Coturnix japonica: one gene and its partner. The protein of the gene in region 1 purifies or fractionates together with the protein of each later gene. This does not show direct contact. Links are inferred from orthologs where the notes say so. Each region holds a gene or a part of one and is shown in the gene's direction. Other genes may lie near its edges.

Region 1 (3,957 bases):
ACAGAGGGCTCAGCCTTTTTTTTTCTGAAGTATGCAATTCTGTACCTCAAAACAGAGCTGTAATTGAGACAGAACTGGATCACCAACAACAGAGCAGACACTCTCAAATTATCACCATATGCATCAATTCACTTTTCCATCAATACCACTGAACTTGGAAAGGAAGGAAGGCTCTGGGCATCAAAAGCAGGTATCAAGACAATTGCTTGCTACCCAATGGCTGAATTTCTATTGGCACAAGGCTCGGGCTTTATTCAGCCTAAACATGAGAAGGGTCTGATGCTTCCTTCTCATTCCTAGAAGTGCAAGGTTGGCATCACAGTTGTGCTTCCACTCTGTGAATACCCTGCATGATTTATTCCTTTTGGAGAAATCTGTGTCAAAAACTCAGCAGAGATGGAATGAGGAATGGAGATGAATATCACCTGTGTCACACACATCAAATGGTGTGCATCTAGTCCATTTGGGACCAAAATGCAAATATGTATATTAAAAAGAGGCGGGTGACAAGTTGTCACGATCTGCTTCAGTATCTGCAAGCTGAATGCCAGGCAGGTCTGTGCGAACATTTCCTGTTATTGCCCTGACTTCAACCTCCCCTGCCGCCCCACTTCACTTCATCTGGGGTTTTCAGGCTTCTGCAGAAGGGAGCGCGGGCTGCAGCACCATCGCTAGGCACGGCATCGGGGATGCAGGGAGGACATCTGGGGAGCCGCCGGCCTCAAGCCGCGGGATTGCCGGACTCCGGGCGGCCCGAAGGCAGGACGGACTGACGGTGCTCTGGAGCCCGAATCGCGGCTCGGCGGCGTGGGCGGTGTTCGCATACGGTCCCCGTTCGGGAGGCGGGCGCAGAGAGCCCGGCTGCACGTCGGGGCTGGCCCCGCTGGCGGTGGGAGAGCCAGACCTGCGAGGGGCTGGCCTCTGGCAGATGATTGACACCCAACTGGGTGAGGTTTCGTGCTTTAAAAAAAAAAAAAAAAGGAAAAAAAAAAAAAAAAAGAAAGAAAAAAAAGAGAAGAAAGAAAGAAGGAAAAAGAGCCAGCGCAGAGTGGGGGGGTAGGGGGGGCGAGGTTAATGTGGAAGGGGGGGGAAGGAACTACTGTAAGAGTAAGAAAGTCCTGCCCAGCTGTTTGCGGAGTTTAAGATTTCCTGTTTCCCCTGCAGCGCCGAAGTGAAGTTTTCAGTGAGTCACCCGCAGCCCCGAGCAGCGCAGCCCGCGTCCCGCCAGCCCCGCCGCGGCCTCCCGCTGCCCGGCCCAGCCGCCCCGCTCCGGCTCCGCGATGCCTCCGCGCCTGCGGCCGCTGCTCCTGCGCGTATCTCTATGGGTCCTCGTGGGCTCTTCGAGCCCCGCGCTGCTCCGCGGTAAGTGCCGGGCCGGCCCCGGCGCCGCGCTCCTGCTTGACAGCTGCCGGGGCCGAAGGGCAAGCGCCCACCGCCGGGGAAGGAGGAGGATGGTGAGGAGGAAGGCTCAGTTGCTAAGAACGTTTTGAAGCTGCTGGAGCGGGGAGAGCGTTTGTTTGTCGCCCCCCTGGAAAGTGAAGACGGAGAGAGAGGCTTAGCGACAAAAAAAAAAAAATGAAGGGGGAAGGGGGCAGAAAAGTGAGAATTGAGCAGGAAACTCCGCGGGATCCTATTTTGCGGGAGCTGACTGCTGGCCCGGGGCAGCGTCCGCACCTGGAGCCGGGGATTGGGCCCGGGTGCTGCCCCAGGGGCGGATTTACAGAAAGAGAGATGCAGGGATGGAGAGGACTGTGGGTGCCACAGGGCCCGAGGCGTTGTTCTCCGAGCTGAGGCCCCTGCACGGGCACTGCTGGCAGCTGAGGGGTCGGTGTTAGGTGCCCGGGGGTTACGATACACGTGAGCCTGTGAGGTAATGCCTGTAGCAAGAGTCAGCTGTGGTTGTGGATAGCAGGAGTGGGGACAGTAGTCATTTCTGCAGCACTCGGTGTTTTAAAAGTGCTTATTAGATCCGCTTTTAATGGCACTTTGCATCCTTTACTCTGGCATTTCTTTATGAAGTCATCCGTAGTTAGGTTTTTAAGGCTGTGGCTTGCAGGATTCTTCATAGGGTACTGTGAAGTGTTTCAAGTGCTGCTGCAAGAACCAGGTCCCTGACCTGAAGAGCAACTTGTCCTACTCCTACCCATGCCAACCCACAGATGTGCAGCACTGTCTGTACCTATAGGATTAGGCCCTAACTCATTTTGCAGCACAGCTGACAAACCTTAAAAACAGAAACCACACTTGAATCAGTTTTGAAGTATTAAGTGCATTTTGAAGTGTTGTGTGATACCAGATTTCTGATTTCAGCCTTCAAGTGAGGTGTGCAGACACCTGAGCTTCTGCTAGCTTTGCTCTGAGCTCTCCAGTTATCTTCTGTGGTCCATTCATGGTCACTAAAACATAATAACGTAAACCAAATAGCTCTTGTTTAGTCACTGCCAGTGGCTGTGTACATTATGAATAACTTCATGCTTTGTTAATAATCCTGTCAAAGTCAACAGGTCTTACATTCCTGCAAAGTTACTCATGTAAGCGTAGGGCAGATGAAACTCGGTGGTGTCCCAGCACTCAGCCGTGTTATTGGTTTAAACTTGAGGTGTGCAGCTTCCTGTTGATTTTGATATGTATTTGTATTTCTCCTTTATATAAATCATACTTGGCTAAGGATTGCTTTTGTTTAGATACCAGCCCTAAATGTGTTGTGTGTTCCTATTCCTGCTATGCAAAGCTTTAAAAGTTCCGCTTTTGTTAGTCTCCTGTCATTGTGTTTTTTTAACTCACCCACTAGAGACTTTGATTTGTGGTCTATGAAACAGAGTTCACCTGTGATCAGATAATCTGTAGCTCCAAAACTTGTTGAAAATGACGTTTTAATAATGGTTGTAGGTTTCTGTTCGTGTAGCCAGCTGGTCAGAAAGTACAGGTGCTACTGGGGGCACAGAGATTGGAGTATTGGTTGTTAATTGGCATCAAAATGTGAAATATATCTGCTAGCTGTTTGAGGGAAACGAAACAGAAGAGCAACTGACTTTGTAATAATCAATAACTCAGTGAGGATGGGGCAGGAGAGATACCAGTCCCAGAAGGGTGCACTTCCCAGGTGTGCCTATTAACAGCCTGTTTCCTGGTGGTGAGCAGCTTAGTAGAGCCCCAGCTAAAACTTCATCTGAACATTCTTTGTAGCGAGATACTAGACAAGGGTGGCACATCCCCATAAGGGTTATGGAGAAAATGACAAATTCATGAGCAGATCCAATAGTGAGTGTTTGCTTTGAAAGAGTTGTACTAATGTTCTGTGCTAAACAAAAGCTATTGAAGCTTTTCCCAAAGAGTAGAATGTGAATTTGGGTTTGTTTTTTTAGTTTTTTGGGTGTTTGTTATGGAATGGTTATGAATGCTACATTGAGTGTTTAATCAGTAAATGGCTGTGCAAACCAGCAGTTGGTCATATAAGAAAACAGCACCTCTGTGTCCAAAAGGATGTGAATCTGTAATTTGTATTTGGGTTACATAAAGCCAAAATTTGTGTTTTGGAATAACCTGTGTGATAGTTGTTTATTTCTCTGTATCTGGCATAAAGTTTTGCCATTCATCCAGGTGCTGACTTGCATCACTGTCTCCTTATCTTGTAGAAGCCACGTGGTAGTCTGTTGGTTTAGTAGTAATAAAATAAAAACAAACGTAGAGTTTCAGGTAGTTGCATGAGTGAGTATGAGGAAAAACATGGCAGAACGTGTGTAGCATGATCGACTCTAAAGTGCATTCCTGTCCCTCATCAAAGCTCTGGCAAACTTCCAGTTATTTCAGAAGATAACTGGAAGAATACAGATATTACTGCAATTTCTTCTGAGGTATCTCTGAGTTCTGAGAACGGTGTATCTGAGATTTTGAAAATCGCTTCTATTTAATTGCTGTACAGAGCTCTTTAGCTCATACTTCTGTAGTAGCCAGCTG
Region 2 (3,518 bases), on another chromosome or scaffold:
GCATCCTAAGGCATCATGACAGAATTGGGTTGCTGTGCATTATTTTCTTCTTATAGCCCAGATGTAAAATGATAATATTATTAAGAATAAGCTTTCAGCTGTTGCTGAGCTGATCCAAATGTGTGTCACTGCAGGGGCTTCTAGATGGTAGGTTTGTAAGACATAGGATATAGATGATCCCTGTAGACTGGAGTAAATTTCACTTGAATGTGGTTTGTGCAAATTAACTTTAAATAAAAGGTTTGAAAATAACCGAATGGCTGTCAGAACCACAGGGCAAACTGGGAACACTCCCACTTCTTTTTTTAACTGCCAAAAATGAATGCTGTGGTGGTGAAAGCCCGGTGGAAATGAAGTTTGGTTGGTCAGGGGAGCTTTCTCAGTAGACTTTGTTTCAAAACAGGCAATGGACTGAAATCTTAAGAGGTATTGAAGTTGTGTGAGGTTCTGTCTCATATGTTTGGTTTTGTTGTTGGAAAAAAATAAATTGACGTTGCATTGGAAAAAAATATATATCTAAATTGTGACCTTTCCTATTTATCCAGTCAGTTTGGGGCATTATCACATGTCCTGCACAGAGGCTTTTCAAGTTTTAGGGGAAATACAGCTTTTGTCCTCTTGTTTGGAAGTGCCACACTAAAAAGCTAAGCCATGCAAAAAGGCCTACTTGAGAAGTGACATGAGAAAGGACATCTCTGCTCAAAACTGACTTTGTCCAGTAAGAAGTCAGATTTACAAAATCTCTTAGAATTGCTAGTAAAAATACTTGCTTATCTGTGCCAGTTAGTTACATGTGAGCTCCCCACATTCCTGTGGTCCAGACTAGGCCAGGTACAAGGGACAAGGTCCTTGCCAAGCTGCCAGTACAAACATCTTTTTGTAAGCTTACTCTTTTTCATGCAAGCCATTTAAAACAGACTATGGTATTGAGTGTAGATTAGAGGCATAGTGTTTGGCTGATCCTTGAATTTTAAATTGGAGGAAGGCAAAACACGCAAAGGAAATATGGAAATGGTATCTGAGAAATTCAGTGTCAGCAGCTTAGTAGTAAAACTGTATGGTTAATACCTTATTATATCGTGCTGTAACCTTTTACATACTTTGTAGAGTACTACTAATAGAAATAACCAACTCTAAAAACAACTGATAGTTGCCAAGAAAGACAGAAGCATATGTCTTTAGTCAGGATAAAATCTCTCTGAATTTACTTTTTTCTAGGCCTGAATGTTGTTAGTGTAATCACAGTAATCATAGTAAATCGAAAGTACGTCAGTTACTAAGACTTAACCTTTAAGAAACACATGAAGAAAACAGGAGACGTATGACTTGAATATCTGCAAACAGCTGTGTTTGTTTCTAGCCGCCAGAATCAACTTAAAGATCAGCAGCACCAGCAGCAGCAGCAGGTAGTGTCCCTGTGTCAGCTTCCAGATGAGGCAGAATGTCTGACTGTGCCAAGGTACAAACGAGACCTGGTGCAGAAACTCAAGATCCTGAGGCAAGAGCTGTCACAGCAGCAACCTCAAGCTGGCCACTGTCGTATTGAGGTCTCCAGGGAAGAGATTTTTGAGGTAATTTGAGATCTTGACCCATTTGTTAACACTGAGGGAAGGGGAGGAGGGTTATCCATAACTGTCTGAAGAAGTCATTCAGTTAGACAAAATGCTGAAGCCTGTTTGTCTCAAAAACTTTATCACCCATCCCACCCATCCCTGTTGTGTTTTTACTCCACCCACAAACATGATAGCCCCACTGCGTTGTCACCATTTTTCCAGCCAAGAAATATTTGTGTTGGTATTCCCAATGGAGACAGTCAAATCACTTAATAATAAACTGAAAAAGAAGGGGGAGAAATGCTGCTGTAAAGGAGTGGAAATTATTATATTCTTTTTCTGAAGCGTCCCAGGCATGCCTGCCTCTTCTCTTCTGCAAAAACAAAGATTGGGGGCATCATAAATAAAACCTTTGATTTAATTCCATTTATAAAATGAGCATTTGGTTTCTTTCTTTAGCATTCTTTTTATATTGTATTGATGAAGTCTTACTGATAGAGCAATAATTCCATAGATTTACTGGGATGGCGGTGGTGCTGATGATGCTTAAGCATCTTAAGATGCTTTGTGAAGGTTTGCATATCTTCTGGTCAGTAGAAGTACCACTGTTGGCTTTTCACACTATTTTTTACTTGACAAGCATTATCACATTTATAGAAAGCTATGTAACAGTTTGTGATTGGAGAAACAGCAGTCTCTAGGAAAACAACATCCCCTTTGGGCTTAGATTCTGAGACTCCCTTTGTTTCTAATAAGCAGTAGTAGCTTCTTGTCTCTAAATAGCAGTTAATAAAAGAATGTGTTGTGTATTTACAGGAATCTTACAGGCAAGTCATGAAGATGAGGCCAAAAGATCTATGGAAACGATTAATGATAAAGTTCCGTGGGGAGGAAGGTCTTGATTATGGAGGTGTTGCCAGGTAAACAGTGTGTCCTCCATCCCTTTCCTCAGCCCCACCAGCTGCACCACTTTGATTCCTAAACCAAACTGACAACGACTCTTTTTCTTTTAAAATTCTGTGGTTCTATTTGTTCTAGTAACGCTGTATGTCAGAAGAGTGTATATATCTCAGATAGTCTTTTCAAGGAAAAAAAGCAAGGAGAATTTATTGTAAATAAATCAAAATGCCTGTTACCAAAGGTGTCTCTGATGCAACCTGTATCAATTGGAAAAGCTTGGGTATTTGGGAGTGTATGTACACCACTGAACAGTCAACTTGGTGACAGAATCATAATCAGTGACTCTTGGAAAGCAACTTGAAGGAAAATCCTGGCAGCTGACAGGTGCTGTGCATTACTGAACCAGTGAAAATAATTCTGCTTTCTACACGTGCATAGCTGTCCTTTGAAAAGATTGAAAAGATTCTCAATATGCAAATTAATTTATCTAAGGTTATGCAGTAAATTCTTTCTTCTTTCTTGTTCTTCAGGGAGTGGCTCTACCTGTTGTCACATGAAATGCTGAATCCATACTATGGGCTCTTCCAGTATTCCCGAGATGATATCTACACACTGCAAATCAACCCAGATTCTGCAGTTAACCCGGTATGACTGACAATAGGAGTTAAGTAAAATGATGCTTTTGTGACCCAGCAGTTAGGTACATGTGGAGAATAATGTTCTAGATTTAAGAATCTAGTTCTCACGTTAATATTGCTAGAAACTAAATGAATGAAATAACATAATTTGTTGTTAGTATGGATCAAAGAAACAAAGAAACATCTCAAATGATCTTAATTTTCTGTAAGATATTGTTTTATGTTTCCTTTGGGAGAAATGGAGTTTGTTTTGATTCTTAACAGTAAGACTCTGGACTTGAAGCAACGTACCCAGTGTGCTGTATATAAAAACAAACTAAAAAAAGATATCAAACAGCTCTGGTTATGTGTTGGGTGGTGGTGGTTTCCTTGTTGTTGTTAAGGTGTATTGAAATTTAATTAAACGTTCAGCGAATACAATCTAGGA

Evidence for each region. The genes of interacting proteins can lie anywhere in the genome.
Region 2: the proteins of TGFBR2 (region 1) and SMURF2 purify together in Homo sapiens (affinity purification with western blotting; 3 studies listed by BioGRID). This does not show direct contact. The link is inferred for Coturnix japonica from reciprocal best matches to the Homo sapiens genes TGFBR2 and SMURF2.

Annotation. Positions count from the first base shown.
Region 1 is NC_029517.1:36,667,170-36,671,126, forward strand, and holds the start of TGFBR2 (TGF-beta receptor type-2), read left to right. Parts: upstream 1-1,139; 5' UTR 1,140-1,280; coding exon 1,281-1,362; intron 1,363-3,957. UniProt on the Homo sapiens protein: Transmembrane serine/threonine kinase forming with the TGF-beta type I serine/threonine kinase receptor, TGFBR1, the non-promiscuous receptor for the TGF-beta cytokines TGFB1, TGFB2 and TGFB3.
Region 2 is NC_029533.1:7,225,770-7,229,287, forward strand, and holds part of SMURF2 (E3 ubiquitin-protein ligase SMURF2), read left to right. Parts: intron 1-1,360; coding exon 1,361-1,571; intron 1,572-2,369; coding exon 2,370-2,473; intron 2,474-2,983; coding exon 2,984-3,098; intron 3,099-3,518. UniProt on the Homo sapiens protein: E3 ubiquitin-protein ligase which accepts ubiquitin from an E2 ubiquitin-conjugating enzyme in the form of a thioester and then directly transfers the ubiquitin to targeted substrates.